2 linked regions of the Lonchura striata genome follow. The protein of the gene in region 1 purifies or fractionates together with the protein of each later gene. This does not show direct contact. Links are inferred from orthologs where the notes say so. Each region holds a gene or a part of one and is shown on either strand. Other genes may lie near its edges.

Region 1 (10,332 bases):
GCTTTATGTTTTCTGGCCTTCAGCTACCCACAGTCTCTTATTCCTTTCTCTCTCTCTCTCTGTACTTTCTTCCACAGTCTATAGATGCAAAATCTCATCAGCAAGGCAACCATGTCTGCCTTCAGAATTCTTCTACAACCAAACCATATAAAATAAAAACAAACCATAAAAAACAAACTCACACAATTTAACAACCTACAAAAGGGATAACAGCTACTCCTTTCCATACAGCACCTTAAACTCAAGCACATGAAAATGAAATTTCACTTGAAAGCACTCAGTGGTACAGCTGATAGAAAACTTCATGTAGGTCTCTTTTTTCAATCCTAGCCCAACACTCTATCCAGCAGACCTTATTCTTCTGGTAAATCAAATAGTAACTAGAGGAAGATTTTTTAAAGCTGTAAAAACTCCACAGAATTATTCATATTTCATCCCTGTTACAACTTATTTTTATTTATTAACAGACCTTTTTGCACAGAGTATAAATTTTCACATGCAATCCTTTCTAGAATAAGGCCTAGAAAGTTACAGCCACAAGTAACATTAGCATGGACTGCATATTTGAAATTTCTTCCTCACGATACAGCATAACCCAGAAATTTAAACATTCCCCAAATTGTATTAAAAATTAAAATCACTACAGCAAGCCTGAGCACAGACTTAACAGGATATAACTAAAATTACATGTAATATCAGAACTAAAAAAATGAATTTAAATACATCATAATTTATATTTCCACACTAAAAGAATTAAAATATTACATATAATATCACAAGAGTGAAAAATTAATTTAAATACTTCATTATTTAAATTTCCACACTACTGTCTCAGAAATTAGTCTCTTGGAAAGACAGGTTCCATATGTCCTCTTTGGTATCAAAGTTATGAACAGAATTTAGATGCAGAAACAAAACAAACAATGTACAGTATTATGCAGGTAGATCCAAACATCCTGCATATGAAATGATAAAGGAAGTAGATAATTAAAAAATTTAAATACTCAGTAGCTTCCAATAAAGCTACAGAAATAGCTGCTAGTAAGATGTCTGTGAAAGAATAATCTTTGTACTGAATGTTTAAGAGACTGAACCCTTCCCCTCATCCCCAACCACCTCTATGGGCCAATAAAATACTCATTCAATCTCTTAATATCCATTAAAAATGTACCCAAACAACTTTAAGAAAGTAGAGCAAGATGCTTTTTAGTAAAAATATTGTAACTAGCCCATATAGATATTTTTCGACTAAAACATTCTGACATTCCCACAGTTATGTAGTACTTCTGATTAGAAAAATCTAATAAACTATTTCCAAATTAACAAAAAAACATAATTTTCCTTCCAATCAGACAATTTTCCTTTTGTCTGTGTATCGAAACATCACTGAGCACATCAGTACTCATTTGAACATTTTTCTTTTGTAATATGTGATTGACATTAGTTGAAAAAAAATTCCTGGGGCAGGACTATGGGGATGGACAACACAACTTATTTCTGCAATTCCATTTACAAATTATCCAACCAGCCTGTCACTTTTCTTGGGCAAAAATGAAGGATACCAATCTCTGTTCCATGAGACAGAAGAATATCCTAAAAACAGACTATCCCAATAAACAGAACATATTAAATACCTTCTACAAGATCATTTGTATTCCAAGCTCCACTAGCAATGCAGATAATGGGAATATTTCCTGCTAACTCTACAGGAATTTAAGTCTTACTGCCTTCACCACATTCTGCTTTACCAGACATTGTTGCCTATCCTATTATAGTACTAAGTTGTCACTTTTAGTTATTAGCTATTGCTTAAAGAAGCAGCAAACTGAGACATGATTGTGCTAGGACTCCAGCTAAGTATATAAAGCGTCCATTCTGACTGTACAACACTATGCCTAAAACCCAGTAAAATCCTTCAAGAAAATTCACCTGTGCAACCTCTTGGCTGCTTCATTCCCCCTATCTGCCTAGAAACAAGATGCTCAAGAAGAACAAATAATGAAGTTTTGAACAGTATCTAGTTCTTCTGACCCTATTCCTGCTAGAATGCACAGCAAATGAGCAAAGGAAATTGGTGACATCATTTTACCCCTCTGGAATTTCTCTTACTTGGAAGAATCACAAATAGCAACAAAAAAAGCAGAGGGGAAAGCTGAAATATGCCCATGAAACAGGCATAATAAGGTAAGTTCAGGGCCTCCATTTTTTCTTCTTGGGTCATATGGATCTCTCTGACCTTTATTTTCCTTCCAATTCCACTGCTCATGAGCACTAAAGCTGGAGGGTCATATACTTAATCCAAATTTGCAGAAAGTGTGGCCTCAAAGGGTCTTAATCCCAGTGGTGCTCCAAACAGATGGATAAAGTTCTGTCACTGTACACGTGTTAATATCTGTCAAGCAGAACATGGTGGGGATATACGCTGCTGAGGCATTTAATGGCCTGTCTCTGGATTTCCCCCATAATTGTCAAGTATTTGAAAATAAATAACATCATGAATATATAACATACTACTAATTTTATTCAAGTCACATCCCCTTTTATATCTCAATGATGAAAAGAGAAGATTTTGATACCTATATGGTATGCTTTACTGACTAGAATGATTGTACACTACCATTTTAGCATATCCATACTAACAAGACACAGCAGATGGAGGATTAGTACAAAATAAAATCTGTACAGTTACATGTCAAGTAACAATCAAGTTCCATGTCATTTACTTTTGTAAGGCATATTTTTGTCTTAAATAATAAAGAAAAATGTCAATTACAGACTTCCATGGATTGTGAGGAGTTTGCAATACCTAGGGTTTAAGCACTGCGGTGAAGTACTTTGTTTTACACAATTATCTACTGAATCATGATGAGTTCACTTTTGACAGCTAAGAAACCAAAGTCAATCGGCAATTCCCACTTCATTCCAGGAATATATGGTGTACAAGAGAAACCATAAACATTTTAAAGGGTTTGAATGAAGAAAAGCAACTACACATACCACAGAGGCCTCCGATCTCAAGCTTATAAATTACTGCCCAAATCACTTATACACAGAAAAAAAACAGAATACAGGAACGTGTTTTATTTGAAACGAAGGACAAACATTTTTACCCTTCAGATCAGTATCAGGTACTGCAACGAGTAATTAAAACAAAGACGAGACAGGAAAAAAAGCACCGCACTTTCGTTTTTCTCAAAGTTTCATAACACGACTCAATACGTGTATACTTTTAGTCGAGACGACACGAAGAGAAGAGGGAAAGGAGTTTGCTGGAGCGAAGTGTCAGTTTGTGTCACTTCTGCATTCAGCTGTAACCTTCGCCAAACCTTGTCCCCCACCCCGCCCATCGCCCGCGAGAGGCCGCGGCCGGCGGTCCCGCCCCAGCGGCGCCCGGCTCGCAGCGCCCATAGGATGCGGCTCCCGTCAGTCTCCCATCAGCCCAGCTCCGCCTCCTCAAACAGCAGCAGCCCTAGCCTTCCTATCCGCCTTTTGCCTTCAATAGGCCCTAAAGGACAATGCTGCTTCAAGGGGAAAAAATATTTGTTAAAAATTTTAAAAATTAAAAAAAAAAAAAAGAAGAGGGGAGCGAGCCCCGCCAGATCGGCCCCCGAGGCAGCGCTGTAACGCCGCGGCTCAGCCGGGGCGGTTTCCATCGGCCCCAGCCCGTCCCCAGCTCCCCCTCCCCGGTGCGCTGAACGCCCGCGCAGGATGAAAGGTCACGGCATGAGCACCAGCCGGGCCCGGCAGCGGCGCAACCCCGTCACCTCAACCTCGGGGGCAGGCGGGGCAGGCGAGGCGCTGCCCGGCTCAGGATCTCCCTACCCCGACCCGAACCGCCGCATCCTCCGCTTTGCCGTCTGCTGGCGCCGGATGACACCGGCGGGGGCCGGCACCCGCGGCGGGTGGGTGCTGGGTGCCGCCTTTCCCTCCCTCCTTCTCCTCCTCTGCTCCCGGGCGTGACCCAGCCCGAGGGCACCGAGCCGCTGCTCCCGCTGCAGGCTGGCGCCTCCCTCCCGGCCGCGGCACAAGCCGCTCACCTGGCGCCAGGTCCCGCCGGGATGGAAGAGGGGGAGTCGGCGGCAGCCGCGGAGGGCTCGGCGCCCCTCCCGGGCAGCGCTCTGACCGGGGCACCCCGGCCGGGCCCCCGGCCCCGCCCCCGAGCCCTGCCCGCCGCCGGCCGGCAGCCGCCCCCCGCCCGGCCCCCGGCGCTCCTGTCACCCCCTCCCCGGCCCCTTCCTCCCGCGCCCCCCGGCTCGCTCCCGCCGTCCTGCGCAGCCCAGGAGCGGGACGCGCCGTCCCGGGAAACCGTCCTCCCGGCGGGACCAGGCCCGGCCCCGCCACTCCTCCTCTCGCCGGGCTGTTAGCGGAGCGGGCAGGGATGCGCGGGCCTTCCCGGCCGGGCCCCGCGCCGCCGGCCCGGCGCTCCCGGGGCTCCAGCCCGCCTGTCCCAACGCAGCGGTGGGGAGGAAGCGGGGGAGGGGAAGGGCGCCCGCCGCCGCCTCCCGGCTCCGTCCTCCCGTTCCACGGGCAGGGCGGCTGCCGCTCTCCCTCCCTCCCTTCAGCCCTGCCCCTCCCTCTGCTCCCCGGGCCCGCGGCGGGCATTTACCTGCCGTGGTGGCGCAGAGCGGGGCCCTGGGGCCTCTGGCAGCCGGAGGAGGCAGCGGACTCCGTCCCGCTGCTGCCGTCCCCGAGTGAGGCGGGCGGGACGGAGCCGGGACCTGCCCCGGGAGGCGTTACGTAAACCGGCGGCGGCGGCGGTTCCAGCGCCACGGGGAGGGAAGGAGGGAGGGAGGGGGCCGGGCCGGCCGCTCCGTCACCCGGCAACGGGACTCAGCGCCCCGGCGGACCGTGCCGCCAGCTCCGCCCCGTATCCCTCCGCCCAGAGGGCGGCCCTGATCCCAGAGCCGCGGGGCTGCGCCGGGAGGGTGCGGAGGGCTGGCGACCACCGCACCGGTGGGCGGGAGGCGGGGAGAACCGGGGCGGTCTGTTCGTCCCGGCTCCCCATCCCTGTCCCTATCTCTGCCGTCGGCCTTAGCGCCCGGGCGCCGGCCAGCCGCCTTCATGTCGGGGCCGCGGCGCAGGAAGGGCGGGGGGAGGAGGGGAAGCGTCCTTTGCCCTGGTTGTACAGCCTCCCGCCCGCCGGCGCAGCGCCGTGCCGGCCGCCGGAGGAGGGAGGCGGCGGGCGAGGCGCTGGGACGGCACCGGGCGGGCGGCGGGGAGCCGCGGCCGGAGCACCCGCGCCCCTCGGAGCGCTGTGCCGCCGGCGGGGAACACCCCGGCAGCGCCGGCGCAGGAACGCGAGGGAGGGAGCGGGGGATAATGATGGAGCGTAGCGGTGTTTGTCATGTGAGGTCCTTTTGAAATCCTGACCGACTCCGAGAGCAAGGTTAGCAAATAAAAGTTTATTTTACTGCGCAATGAAAGCCCGTCTGGAAGGGAAGTCGTCTGTTGGAAGATTGTTGCCATTGAAAGTCGGGTTTAGTAGGTGAGCTCCTCGGGAGCCACGGGGATTTTGTTCCAATTGATTAAATGCCAGTTTAATCACGACTGTTTACACAACCGTGGAGTAATGAAAGGGCAACATTTTTAGCATAGTAAATGGGTGAAAATGGGCGACTGTAAGGCTGAAAATATGGCAAGACACACCAAAGTACTCATTAAGCTTCTTAATTGGGAAAATAATGACGCTCTTCTCAGGTGTACACTACCACCCCACATTTCTCAAATGCATGAACACATACGGGCCTGAGGAAAGTCAATATTATGTAAGATGTCAAAGTAAGTCTTCTCTCTGTGTAATCATAAGGTTTTCTTCCTTTTGTTCACTGCTCAACCTGTGGCTCCTAGAGTTCCAAAATGCAGTATGTCATCCATGTTGGCTCACACAGTTTCTTTTGTGCACATCTTCAGTCACTGGAACCAAGATTACCTTTGAAAACATGATCCCACAGTACCGGATGTGGTCCCACATTTAGGCCTTTCAACAAGTTAAGTCTGTATATAAAAAATACATCTCATAACAAGCATGAATGCAAACACTGCCTCCCAGCCTGTATACTCATTTCCTGATACAGAGCAACATTATTCTTATTTTTGTTTTAGCTAGGGTTTGCCAATTTTGAACATCCTTAGCGCCTAATTTAGTCATAAATCTGACTTAGGCTAGCCAAAAGTTAAGTATGCAAGATTGTGTAGCTACATTAACTACCAGCATTCTCTTAAATGTCGTTGAGGCAATAATTGATGTCATATGAACGTGCAGTTAATCTGTTACTTTCTCGAAACCTTGCAGGAGCATTTTTGGAGAAATCTAAAGAGAAAGTAGTGCTTTAAACTGTGATATAAAAGGACAGAATTGTTCTCTGAACTGTTTAATTACTGTTCAAGTTATTTTCTTGTTATGAAAAGCTGAAACTGAAAAGCTTTGGGAAAAAATCCTGCTGACTGTTTTCTGCTGAGTCATTCCCCGGGTTTATCAGAAGCATTTCACCACCGCTGTAACACAACTCGTGCCAATCACAATCAAATCTGCTGTTGTTCAGGAGCTCGGTGTTTGAATTCCCCTTTTCAAGGTAGAATAAGATACACTAAAAATGAGGCACCTGGGATCTGTCTGTAGTAACAATTGGCACCAATTTAAATCAATCTCTATACAGTCCTCTACACATATCCTTGATGGATTAGTAATGTATATCATCAATACAAATCCACTTACTGTATTTCACCCTTTCTAAAGATTTTTTCTCTGAAGATTTGTAGAAGGAAGAGATGCTCAGAACGTTGGTGTTCTAATGGAGCAAGTCAGAGCATGGAGGCCAATGACAGATTATTCTGAATATTCACATAGTTACTGTCAAATTGACAGTTCTAGTTTTGTGGTCAGATCACAGGAATCCCAACAGTAGAACTTTTTTGTTTGTTTGTTGGGTTTTGTTGGGTTTGTATTTTCCTAACAACCAACCCCATTCTTATTTCCATTTGGCAAGCATTTCAGAAACAGCTGGTACATGACCATATGCCGTGCTGGCACTGCTGTGAGCTTATTTCCCACTTGTCCTCCTGGTCAATCAGAGTAGCTCCATGTGCTGAAGGACAGCTGGTCCCTTGGCATGCAAAGCAGCTAATGAACTTTTCCTCCAAAAAGCTGTGGGGATAGAGCATGTGAGCTGCAATCAGTGGGTTTTGCTTTCTGAGTTGCTATCAAAGATGGAAGTTTTCTATGGGAACCCTGTTTGCCTCTGTGTGACAGCCTTCACCCTGAGAACAACTATGTGGGTGTGCATTGTAGGTGACAGCGCTTGTTTGGAAAATGAAGGCTAAATGATGTGTGTTGAAAAGAATGCTAAACCGGAACTGAGTGACTGATGGACTTGTGCCTTAGCTGTCAGCCTCAGCAAGTAGCACTGTTTCCCTTTTTCATTGTGATCCCTGCTGAGAGGGTCTCCAATAAATGTTTAAAAATGTATCCATTTCATAATATATAATTTTTTTCCCTTAAGTAACCTACTGAAGGAGAAATTTCACAGCAGTTCCATATTAGATAGCCACAGCTTGTAAGCATTTTATTGTCAGCCTTCTCTTTCTTCCTTAAAATCAGTTTATAATATTCCCTAAAATTTCCTTGTAGATGCAATAAAAATCCCCTGATTTTCCCTGAGCAGGGATTATGTATCAGTTAGCTTTGAAAGTCATGATAACCAATCAGTAGACAATCCTCTTGTTCACAGTTCATATGAAATGCTTGATAAAAGCAATCTGCCAAATCTGCCAATTCAACATTTTAGAAACAGCTACAGTACCATTTGTGGGGGAATATACATAGTCCAAGAACTTAAAAGATCATTTAAATGTGCAGGATCTAAATATATACATAAAGTTATGTGTTTTTAAAATCTAGAAAATGGACCTTAATGTAAGCTGAAACAGGGAATATCCAACAGACTCATGATGAGTTTTACTTGAAATCTTGATGCACAGATTCAAACTTATATTTATCTCTTTGAAACTATTCTTAATTCTGTGAAGACTTGCCTAACTTTTTTACTTCTTTTCAGGATCCATTTCAGGTTTTAAGCAAAGACATTCACACCTCCCAGAAGTAATAACTCGGTTCAAATGACACATTCAAAAGGCATTCCTCAGCACTAGATCAGGTTTCAGATTCCTTTTTACTGATCCCTATTTCCTAATAATATCCCTGTGCAGTGAAAAACCAAGCTCTACATACCCACAGAATCAGAGGACCACTCTGTTGTCGCCATCAAGGACCTCATCTACTGCAGTGGATGGAATGTGACATTGAATTTTAGTGGGGCTTTCATTGGGCCACAGTTCAACTCTTTTCCTTTCAGAGTCCTCTCAAAGAGGTTTCAATATCTTTAATAGGAGCACATTAGCGTGGTGAGCTTGGAAGATCTGAGTCATTTGAAAAATCAATTACATAATTCAAAGTAAATTTATTTTCTATTCAATCCAACTTGATCACTATAACCTGGGCTCAGTGCTGGTATGTCTTTATGACTCTACTTTTTAAAAAAATATTTGGCTTCATTGTTACTCTTACCCTTTTTCATCCTGCAGCACTTTGACAATTGAGAAACCCTAATAATACCTTGAGAAACCCTTGGACAGCCCAAAGGAATACATGAACAGGACTCTGTCTCAACATGGTGCTGTGTGCCTAAAACAGACTACCTGAGGTCTATAGTAAAAAGTACTTAGAGAAAATTATAAAGAACTATGATAATTGTCTGTAGCCATTTGGACAAACTGCCAAGCAGTTTAAAAATATTTAAAAAATGAAAATGTTACACTACATAATGAATGTTAAGGTCCAAATACCTGGATACAGCATTTGAAACCATACACCAAGGAATAGCTTTCACTTGTGGTGTACTAAAAGGACTACAGGAAATACAGTGTTACAGAAATAAAATAATTTTCACAAGTGATGAAATACAAAGCAAGTATTACATGCAATTGCATTTTAAGGACCATTAGTCACCATTAAATATACCAGTCTCTCAAATTCTGATCTTTTTTGTAATGCATATGTAGAAGAAATTTATATCATAATAAGATATGAATTTAATTGCATTATATTTGTTTCTACATCAGCTATTGTCAAGCTATTAAGTTAATTACATGTTAAGTTTTAAACTAGATGAAACACATTATGACATCTGTTTTTTCCTATATACTACAGCCATTTTAGAATTACCATGTTGGAAATGTGTGAGGTTTAGGCAGCTCACTGTCTTACAAATAGTTCATGAATACAATTAAACATCCTTGAGTAGCCTGCAGCATCAGCATCCAATCCTTGTCCTGCTCATCAGAGATATGGTATTGTTTGCATTAATTCCACTGTTTTTTTTCCTAGATATTGACCATATTCTCAGTCAGTGAAAATGCTGAAGAGTTGAATGCATTCTCATAGCTGGCAATCTGGCCACAGATTTTGGAATGAATATACTACCATCTTTATTAATGATCTATAAACAATGACAGGTGAAAGAAACACTTGAAATTTTATTGAGTTATTAAAGCAATTGCACTGAAGGTGCAATTAATCTTTTCCTTAGCATTTTCTTAAGATGATCTACTGTTGAAGACCCTGGTAATAGAAAATATTCCTTTGTGTATTAATGGCTTGTTGTCCTGGCACTTTGACATTATGTTTTGACTGATCAAAAAATTTTCTTATCTGATCCCGTAGTAAAAAACTGAAAAACTGCAAAGCAAAAAGGTTGCATGTTTTCAAATGCTTAAAACAAACAAAAAAAACCCTCAAACTTGGTTTGAAAGTTGAGACTTGAAAGTGAAGGAATCTGTAGACATGACTTGCAGACTGTAAGAAGATTATTGTTGTTGTTCTTAATAATAAAATGTTGAGATTTTTATTTGTGTGAACTTTTTTATCTGTGTGGGAGCAAAAGGCAAAATGGCCATTGCTGCTTTCTGATAGAACTGATAAGCTGGGAAGTGCTGCCATTAGAAATAACTCATTCTGTAGATATCAAAGAACTGTTAAAAGTGGCTGATTAATACCAGCAGCCATTACAATGAGGGGAAAAAGTAAAAGTTTGAAAAAAGCAGCATTTAAAAACAGGTATTGAATCCCAAACAAATATACTACTATTTTGATATTAAGGGGGGAAAAAAAATTGGCAGTACATGCAGAGCTCTAGTATCTGCATTTCCAAAGCTGCTCTAGGAAGAGATTTCTATCTGGTGTGATTGACTACAAGGCTGTCAGCCTGAAATAGAAACCATTTGAGCAGCACGAGAGAAGGAGAGGGTATTTTTCTGTCAAGAAGTAGCTAATATTTC
Region 2 (10,363 bases), on another chromosome or scaffold:
GGGTGGGGGGAAAGGAATACCAGGAGTCTTTGGAACTTTATGTAACAGCAATTGAAAGCTTGGTCTCTCACAGCTGGATCGTAACTGACACTTAATAGAGTTAATTTTCCTTTCATTTACTGTTTCACTTTGAGGTACTTGGTGCTACCCAGACCTGGAAGCTTTGCATGGAGAATGTTTACAAATAGATGTCAGCTCGCGGTGTTTCAGTTACAGAAGTATTTCCCTGCTTTTCCAAAATTCAGAGCTGGGATTTCACTGATTCCGTTTTCATACAGGGGCTTGAAGCAGCACCAGAGTTTTCCCACTGTATGGATGCAGGCAGGGCTGACTGGGAGTTGTCTCCCACATTTCCCTGGCCCTTCAGTGGGGATTCTCCCCAAAAATCACAAGGACAGGACACTTTGGAATAAATAAGGAGATGATAAAGCCAATACTCTTCAAAGTGGTCCATACCAAGGGTTAGGACAAAGCAGAACCCTGCTCTGACAGAATGAAATCCATTGGTACCAGAAAAAGCAGTCCAGTTATTTTTCCAGTCATTCTGGGATAAATGAGAATTAAATGCAGAATTTTACCTTCCTTCCCCAAAGGAGGAAAAGGTGGATAAAACAATAGATAATCACTACAATTCTACTGGTATATTGTGTCACCTTGAAGAGCCAGCACTGGAGAACTCCACAAATGGAACATGCCTTTGTGGAAGTAACCATTCCTGATTTTCCAAAGTTTCTCTGGCATTTTTAAGGCATCCAAAGACTACAGTTCCCATAAGCCTCTTCCTGAAGGACCCATGGAGGTGAGGATGGAAAGGAAGAGCATTCCCCTTCTCCTGATTACTTCTTTCTCCCCTCAGAGGCTCACAAGAAAAGCAGTTCACCCAGAGAGGTTTTTGGTATTCGTTCAAATAATAAAAAAAAAAAAAAAACCAAATAACAAAAAAAAGTCTTAGAACAAACAATAACTCTCATTGCATAAACATCAGAGTCTGTGTAGCCAGAAAGTTATTACATAATTTTTGCAAAAATGTATTTCTTATCAACCTCTTTGCAGAGATGAAACTGTAAACTCAACAAATAATGTATTGTATTCAGTTATAAAGACAAAAGCAGCAGTTCTCTGTAAATAATCCTATCCTACAACAACAGATCTATTTACAAAAGGATTTCAGAAGTTATACAACTCCCATAATATAAAGGTATCAGAAAGTTTTGTACTTTAATATGGAGAACAGTTCTCCAAATGGCATGCAAAATGACCATGGAAAGGCTAAACCGATACCAGGCTGCAATTTTCACCCAAAACCACAAACAGCCACACAACTTTCAACCTGCAGTCCCACAGCCAGGCTTAAAAACACCTGAAATGAACAGGTTTTCAGAGGAATTCCCAAAAGATAATCTAATTATAGCAACAAAAAGTGCTTTTTTTGGTACCAGTAGGTTTTAGTCTTCAGAGCAGCACCCATTCGAGCTCAGAAGAAGCTGTGAAATGCCTGCATGGCAAATAAAAGCTCCGGTTTTGTGTGTTTATTCTTTTCACATACCATCTGAGCAGGTGGTCCAGTGACTTTAAGATGTGGCACATGTAAGCAAGTCTGTCCTAATTAAATGTCACTTGAAAAGCTCGGACAAGGCAGAGTTTTTCCCGGACACCAGAGGTGCTCTGCAGCTTTGTTTGAACTATCAGCCACTTTGCAAAAGTCTCCTACGGCCCTCAGGTGTTCATTCCCACCCTGCACAACCCCCCAGACTCCCAAACTGGATAAATTCCCCGTGAGTCCCTGCTTGTTTCACACCAGGAAGGGAATCCTGCACTGAAAGGGAGAACTCTTGGCTGCTATGAGGTAAAATTATCCTTGTCACTGTCCAGCTGGGGGAGGGGATGCCAATGACAAGTCCCAAATCCATCCAAGTATTGATGCAGGAACTGTAACGCTCGCTCCTGTAACCAACCCTACCTGTAAGCTTGGAAACAATATCAAACTCTTGACCTATTGCCCTCCTGGCTTAGGAAAACCCTGCTGGCTCTTTCAGTTTTGAACAAGATATACTTGCTTCACCCAAGGAATATTCCAAAGCCATGAATTAAACTCAAAAAGCTTCATGAACTTGGATGGAATTTTTAATTCACAGCAAAAAATGTAAATTTAACACTTCACACACATATTCTACTTCAGACTGCAAATAAAAAGTCTAGTTCTAAATAATTCATGTAAGCCAAAAACAAGAAGCATAGCCTACAAAAGTATCTATATATACACACACCAAATATATATAGATAATAGTTAACAAATACTAGCTCAGAGTTATTTTCAGTGTTATTATACTAATTCTATAAAGTATAATTAATTTTCCAAAAATATCCAACCTACAGAGGTTGGGGGAAGGGCGGCGTGGAGAAAGAGAGAAACAAGTTTACCAAAACTTTTTAGGGCTACAGACTATTCCAAGGAGGGAAGTTAAATTCTGCTTGGTTACAAGCAAAGAATTGAGTACTACCAGAAATTAAATGTTTGCTGATTTATCACCAGATATCATCTATGTGTTCTTTGACTTCACACACCTTTCTTGAAGAAAAGGTAAGGAAACACCAAGAAGATAATAAAAAAAGTTGTTAACTTGTTCAAATCCGGGCCCCCATGAAACTCCATCCACCTCAGTGTGACTTCAAGGACCTCCTGGCAGAAATTAACACCACACACTCATTCGGATTCAACCAGGATGGCTGTCAAAAACACGCTTGTCGATTTATTTTGTAGCGAGTTACTCTGCCTTTGTTGATTCTAAATAACAATAAATGTTAATTTCCCTCGATGGCTGTGGAGTAATAGGAGAACTAAGTAACAGCAGCAATCTAGAAACATGATCAAAGAAGCCCTACCTGGTCTTTGGAGGGGCTAAACCCCAAGCTTCAAAGCCGACTGAGATCCAAAACCACACCAATTTCTAAATTTCCAATTCCAGGACTTTAAAACGCGTTTTGTGATCCCACGGCGGCGGGAGGGAACTCTGGCCACTCCAGAGGAGCACCCAGTGCATCCGAGAGGAGCCCCAATTCCTCCCCACAACACAAAGCTGAATCCCTAAAAGGCCGCGGCCAGCTACTAAAAGACGGATTCAGGGAATCATTAATGATGGAAAAGAGCTCCGAGATCATCGAGTCCAACCTACGGCCACCTTGTCAAGCAGCCCATGGCACCGAGAGCCACGTCCAGCCTTTCCTTAAAGACCTCCGGGGACGGTGCCTCCGCCACCTCCCCGAGGAGCGCCCGTGTGTCCCTGCCTGTCCCTGTGCCTGTGTGTCCCTGCGTGTCCCTGTGTCTATTCCCAACGCTGCTCCCTCCTCCTCCCCACCCCCACCGAAGGGATGACAGGCACCTCGCTCAGGTAACTCCTTCCCCATCTCCCTGCACCTTCCCCACCCGCCCCACCGGCCCCTCACAGGTGCCGGGGGCATCCCAATCCTCCCCTACAACAGGTGATGCTCCGAGTCCTGCCGCCCTCCTCGCCGCCAGCCCGGCCCGAGCCCTCGCACCCGCCCACCGCAGGGCGTTGCGCATAACACCGAGAGGCTCCGGGCGAGCTCCCTTCCTCCATCGCCGCTCCCAAGGCCCGGCAAGCCACAGCCGCGCTCCAAGGGGAAAAAGGCCGCGGGCTGCGGCGGGGCGGGCGGGGATGGATCCCGGCCCTGCCGCCGCTCCCGCTCTAAGATGGCAGCGAAGCGCTGCGGCCCCTCCGCCGCGGGCCCGGGCGAGGCGGCCCCGGCTCGTCCCGCGGCGCGGCGTCTCACTCACCCGTGCGGCGGCTTCTCCCGGGGCGAGGCCTCTCCCTCCGCGGGGCGAGTGCCGGGCTCGTCCTCCCGCTCTTCCCCGGGGGCCTCGGCGGCGGCGGCGGCGCCTCCTCCTCCCTCGGGCCGCGGCTCTGCCCGCGGTGGGGAAGGGGAGCCCGGGCGGCCCGGCGGGTCCCCGGCCGGGCTCTGGCTGTTCGCTGCCCTCACAAAATGGCGCGCGGTCCAAACCTGCGCAGCGCCCGGCGGCGGCTCGGCCTCGCCTCGGCTCGGCTGCGATCGGCGGCCTGAGCCCCGGCCGGGAGCGCGGGGACAGCGGCGGGGGGAGCGGGAGGAGCGGGAGGAGGAGGAGGAGGAGAAGGAGGAGGAGGAGGGGATGGGGGGAAGCGCAGCGCCGTACCGAGCCCCCGGGAACTCCTCGCTCCCTCCCTCCCTCCCCCGCCTGCCAGCCGCTACCTCCTCCCCCTCCCTCCCTCCCCGCCCGCTCCTCCTTCCCTCCCTCCCTTCTTCCTCACGAACCGGCTTCGCTTCCCGCACCGCCGCCGCCGCCTCAAGCCCGGCCGCGCATCCCCGGCGGGACCCTCGGAGCGCACTTTTTTTGCGTCCCTTCTTTTCCTTTTCCTTTCGCGGTGGAGGTCGGAGGAAGGAGAAGAAAAAAATAAACTTTAAAAAAAAATAATAACCCCCCCGAGATTCTGGCGGAAATGGAGCTATTTGCTCTTGGGGTTTTTAAATTATTATTTTATTTTAATTTTTTAAAATAATTTTAAATTTAAAAAAAAAAAACCCAACTGACAAAATGGCGGCGGGGGCGAGCCTGTTGCCGTGGCAACTGTCAATCACCCGCGGCCGGGCGGGAGACGGCGCTGACGTGGGGAAGCAAGGGCGGGCCGCTCTCGCCATGGCAACGGCTCCTTCCCCCCCTCTTTCCTGATCCATGCCCGCCCGCCCTCCGGCGTGTGACGGTGTCGGCGGCGCTGCGGGCCGGGATGGCCCCGGCGGGGCGGGGAAGGAGAGCGGCCGCCATTGCCGGTGAAGGGGGAGCCGGCGGTTGAGGCGGCGCCGGCCCCGGCCCGCAGGGGGCGCCGGGAGCGCGAGGCCGAGCCCGCCGGGGCTTCCCGCCCGCCGCCTGTGGGGAGCGGCGGGGCCGGGCGCGGGACGCCAGGCGTTCCCAAAAAACCGTCCAAAAAACGCTCTGGAAGGAGCTTAAAGTGCCTGAACCCGCTGAGGGAAGGCTCCCCTCGGCATTGCGTCCGCGCGTTTTTCTCGACACGCTTAAAAATATCACCCCCCCCAAAAAAAAAAAATACGAGTTGGGAAATGCGCTAAAAGTCGTCCCTGTGGGAGACCCGGCGTTGCTGGGGAGTCACAGGGTTCTGGAAGGTTTCTTGCCCCTCAGAATTGCATCCGGGGGTCTTCCTTGTCCCCTGGAAAAAATCTGTATTTCCCCAAGACAAGTTTTAAAACGCACTAAAAGTCACCCGGTGTGGGAGGCTTGAGCTGCTGAGGGAAGAAGGCTCCTTTCCCCTTGAAATTCTGTCCAGGGTTTTTCTAATTCTCATCAGAAAAAAAAAAAATATATATATGTATATTCCCCCAGAAGTGAGTTAGATGTGGGAGCCTCAAGCTGCTGAGGCAAAGCTCCTTTCCCCTCAGAATTGCATCCAGGGGTCTTTCTCACCCCCCTCTGAAAATCAATATATTCCCCCAAAATGAGTTTTAAAATGCACTAAAAGTAGCTTGGTGTGGGAGCCTTAAGGTGCTGAGGGAATCACAGAATAAAAGGCTCTTTTCCCCTTGGAATTGCATCATGGGGTCTTCCACATCCCCCCTCAAAAAATCAATATATTTCTCAAAAAATGAGTTAAAATATGCACTATAAGTAGCCCAGTGTGGGAGCCTCGAGCTGCTGACAGAATGCTCCTTTCCCCTCGGAACTGCTGGATTGGTGTTTCCAGCCTAAATCTGTGACGAGGTTTTTAAGGGGGTTTTTTTGGTTTGGTTTGGGTTTTTTCTTTTTTTTTTTCTCTTTTTTTTTTTTTTTTTTTTTTTAGTTTCTGGAATGCCCACAAGGATCAAAAAGTAGAGTCTGGCCTTTATCTAATACTTTAATTCTGACGTGTGATACTTTAATCTAGTAATTTCATTTCCTAGCCAGCCTCCTTGGAGAAATTAGGACATGTTACATGTTCCATTTGCTTTTTCTTCCTGTTTTAATTTTTTTTTATTTTTTTATCTTGGCTTAAAAGGTTGAAATAAGCAGCCAAGGATTGGCAGAACGGATGCAGCCAAAGCCAAAGCCCCCCAAATAATTGAAGTGTTGAGAATTTTACTTACATTGTGTGATCACACAATCCCAGACTGGGTTGGGGTGGAAAGGACTGTAAAGATCATCTCATCCCACCCCTGCCATGGGGACACCTCCCATTTTCCCAGGCTGCTCCAAGCCCCAAATCCAACCTGGCCTTGGGCACTGCCAGGGATCCAGGGGCAGCCCCAGCTGCTCTGGGAATTCCATCCCAGGGAAGGATTTCTCCCTGATATCCCATCTAAACCTCTCTTTCTCAGCTTAAATCCATCCCTGTTTATCTTCTCACCCCTTGTGAAAAGTCCCTCTCCAGGGACAGGGGTGCACAGGGCAGAGGAGGGAAATCGCGGGGCCACCCCAGGAGTGACAGAGAGGTGTTAGGTGAGTTGAAATTATCTATGGAACTGCACCTTCCAGCCCTGGGAGGTACTTGGGGGCACCGTGATTTCAGTGATCCTTTCTCATTCCCCTCAGCCCCAGAAGGATTTGTGGTCACTTGGAGCTGCTTTTGACACTTCTCTCGTCGACTCTGAGCATGGCCAGAATGTGGCTCTTGTCCTGGGATGTGGAAAGCAACACCTGAGGGAGCTGGGAAAGGGCTGGAGAGTTCCTGAGGGAGCTGGGAAGGGAATGGAGAGTTCCTGAGGGAGCTGGGAAGGGGCTGGAGAGTTCCTGAGGGAGCTGGGAAGGGAATGGAGAGTTCCTGAGGGAGCTGGGAAGGGGCTGGAGAGTTCCTGAGGGAGCTGGGAAGGAGCTGAGCCTGGAGCAAAGGAGGCTCAAGGGGACCTTGTGGCTCTGCACAGCTCCTGCCAGGAAGGGACAGCCGGGGGGTCGGGCTCTGCTCCAGGAACAGGGACAGGAGGAGAGGGAACGGCCTCAAATGGCACCAGGGGAGGCTCAGGTTGGAGACTGAAAACAAATTTTCCCCCAATTCTTCCTGGCAGAGTGGTCAAGCCTTGGGATGAGCTGCCCAGGGAGGTTTGGAGTCACTGGAATTGTCCCAGAGGAGTCTGGATGTGGCCTTGGGGACAGGGTTTGGGTGATGCTGGTGGCACTGGATGATCCTGGAGGGCTCTTCCAAGGTGGACAATTCCAAGATCTCAAAGGCCAACCTCTGCCCAGTCCCTCAGTCAGGAAGGACAGCTTCGCTCCCAAAGAGGAGCAAGGGGGCATTCCCTGAGGATTTTTTCCCTCTAAAATCTCTTTCTGGTCTGTGTGAGTGCAGTGACAGAAGAGTTTCTCTGTTTCTCAATGTAGGTAACTTCAAAACTCACAGAAATTTGTTACACTGTTCACTGCATTACTGTAACTTCCTGGGGTTTGGGGTTTTTGTCAGGTTTTGAGGAGTTTTTTTGCTAACACTTAAAAATATTACAGAGTTTTCAATAGGTTTTGCATTTGCTCAGTCATCCTCTACTTTTATTTTGCTGGCTCTGGCACCTTGGGCAGAGAAAAAAATGTCCTTTAAAAGTTGATGGCATCTTTTTAAAATGTTATTTTTCAGCACAAACATCTAGATATTTTTGGCTTGTTAATTTTATCTGGATAATGAATAACCTGCATGGTTCTTCCCTTGTACAAAAGTGTTCTCTTCAATATCCATTTCATTAAAAGGCAAGGGGAGGTTCAGGTTGGACATCAGGAGGAATTTCTTCCTGGAAAGGGTTGTCAGGAACTGAACTTGTGTTCTCTGCTGGAGGTTTGGGGCTCGGGTTAGGGATCCTCCAGGCTGGGATTCCACCAGCATCCTGCCTCACCTGGAAACTTTGCACACGAGTTGGGGCCTGGATGAAGGGAATCCAAGTTCTTGCTTATCAAAAATTATCAAAACTTACTCCTTTTTATTTTGTTTAGGAAGGGAGGGACTGCCAAGACAGGAAAGACTTGAGAGTCCTTTTTTTTTTTTTTTTTTTTTTTTTAAACTCTCCATCACAATCCACCTGGAGTAGGTTTGCAGTACTTGAAAACAGGAGTTTGTGAACATTGTGTATATGAATTAGTGGACAGGCTTGTAAGAAATACTTGGATGTCTTTTCCTAAGAGACCACCCCTCAGAAAGCAGAATATCTGGGGTCAAAAAACCCAATAATAAGCAGAAAAATTGAGAAAAAATAAGATAAAAGCACATTGAAAATGAGGAGGAAAGAGTGGAGAAATTAGCTCTAAGTGAGAAAATAACATACAGCAGTCTAGAGAAATGGAATAGATGTAAAAGAAACAACAAAACAGCTGAAGAGTTGGGATTGTTCAGCCTGGAGAAGAGGGTTGTGTGGAGACCTCACAGCACCTTCCAGTGTCTGAGGGGCTACAGAGAAGTTGTAGAGGGACAATTCATCAGGAACTGGAGTGACTTCAGACTGAAAGAGGGGAATTGCAGGTTAGGTATATGAAGAAGTTGTTCCCTGGGAGGGTGGGCAAGCCCTGGGCTGCCCCTGGATCCCTGGCAGTGCCCAAGGCCAGGTTGGACACTGGAGATTGGAGCATCCTGGCACAGTGGGAGGTGTCCCTGCCATGGCAGGGATGGCACTGGATGGTTTTTAATGTCCCTTCTGATCCAAACTATGATTCTATGGCAGTGGAGTGTGATTATGGGTAATATGTCCCATTTTTTCCCTTTCCAGCCTTCCTTCATGGAGAAGAGGGGCCCATTTTCCTCATCATTGTGTGCTCTGGAAGGCTTCATTCCCTGATCCAACCCGCCCTTGTAGCCCTGCAGTTTTCCTCCTGGAGCATTTCCAGTTCTGCCTGAACTCCAGACTTCCTTCTCAGCAACTATGGGCAGCCTGACTTTTCCAGGATTCAACATTTGTGTTTTGAGTTCAAGTTTTGATGTAGATGCTGTGTTGGACCAGCAGCAATTCCAATAATCCTCTGTACCCCACTGCAAGAGGGGCCTTCTTATGTCACCAGACCCAAGCTGGAAGATCTTCAGGAAGAATTCCATCACAATAGATTCTGCTGTTGTGTTTCTCCACCAAAGCCACCACACAGCTCAATTCCTTTGGTGCTGAGCCTCAACTCCAAGTGAAGTCCCAGCAGAAGTTCTCCTGCATGGGTTACATCATCAACACTTCCCAGAGCACTGTGGCAGCTCCCAGACAGCCTCAGTCCCACACGAAACCATCATCTGGAGGGAGCAGCTTGTGTTTCGCCTGTCAAAAAGGTGCTGCTAAGTAACTAATGTGGTCCAGCTCTTTTTAGGCCAGAGGGGTTGCCATGGTAACCCATTCGGATGGAGATAGATCAGCTTTTGAGTCATCATCAGAGCCGGCTTCGATAGTACCGGCTTTGGATTGACAGCCAGAGCTGCACATCGTGTAGGATGGCACGCCTCTGGACCAGAAGGTCCTGGAATTGCTGCTGGATAAGGCTTATTCCCAAAAAAAAAAAGTGCATCTCCCTGATCTCTCCCTGATACTCTGGAATTGTGTTCCTTGGTGTTCACACTCACGCTCCCGAGTATGAAAAGTTTATTTTCCCGTTTAAAACACCAGGCAGGAATTTCTGGACATCAGGAGGAATTTTTTTTTTTTTTTTTTTTTTCATGGAAATGGTTGTTAAGTGTTGGAAGAGGCTGCCCAGGGAGGTTTGGAGTCACCCCATCTCTGGAGGTGTCCCAGGAACACATGGAGGTGGCACTCAGTGCTCTGGGCTGGTGACAAGGTGGGCATCGGGCACAGCTGGGACTTGGTGATCTTGGGAGATCTTTTCCAACCTCAATGATTCTGTGAAAATCCTTCCCCAAAACCATGGAGCTTTCTGAGGAAGAAGTCTCCAGGAAAAAGGCTGTGTTAGTTATCCTAGGGAAAGTGCATACTTTACTTGGAAGTTGTATCCCAGAAGTCCTCCTGAGACCACTTTCCATGATAAATACATTTGTGGGAGTGCAGAACAGTTCCTGTTGAAATCAGGCATTCTGAAGAATTGTGATTCTTTAAAATGTCTGTCAATCAAGTGCTACAATGTCAAGTAATTCCCGTTTGGGAGCTTCTCTATACTCTCAATTTCCAACTTTTAGAGGAAATATGGTTTCTCAGCGTTAGAAAATATGGAAAACAAAAAAAAAGGGAAATTTAATCATAAAGTTCCCCTCACATCCAAAAGGACCAGTGCAATCCATGGCTCTTTAAGATTCTCTCATTCTGCTGACTGCAACATCATTGGATCTACACCTGTTCAATGCCCAGCTTTTGCTTCTCTGCCAGAATTCCTGCAAGAGTCAAAAACTATCCTCAATTCCATTAAAATTCCATTCCTCTTTCATTG

The links. Proteins that work in one complex are often made in the same cells at the same time.
Region 2: the proteins of KIAA0232 (region 1) and DYRK1A purify together in Homo sapiens (affinity purification with mass spectrometry; 3 studies listed by BioGRID and IntAct, with this or other methods). This does not show direct contact. The link is inferred for Lonchura striata from reciprocal best matches to the Homo sapiens genes KIAA0232 and DYRK1A.

The regions. Positions count from the first base shown.
Region 1 is NC_134606.1:11,909,876-11,920,207, forward strand, and holds the start of KIAA0232 (uncharacterized protein KIAA0232 homolog), read right to left. Parts: upstream 4,733-10,332; 5' UTR 4,607-4,732; intron 1-4,606.
Region 2 is NC_134604.1:114,751,086-114,761,448, forward strand, and holds the start of DYRK1A (dual specificity tyrosine-phosphorylation-regulated kinase 1A), read right to left. Parts: upstream 4,426-10,363; 5' UTR 4,309-4,425; intron 4,091-4,308; exon of another isoform or gene 3,797-4,090; intron 1-3,796. UniProt on the Homo sapiens protein: Dual-specificity kinase which possesses both serine/threonine and tyrosine kinase activities. Exhibits a substrate preference for proline at position P+1 and arginine at position P-3.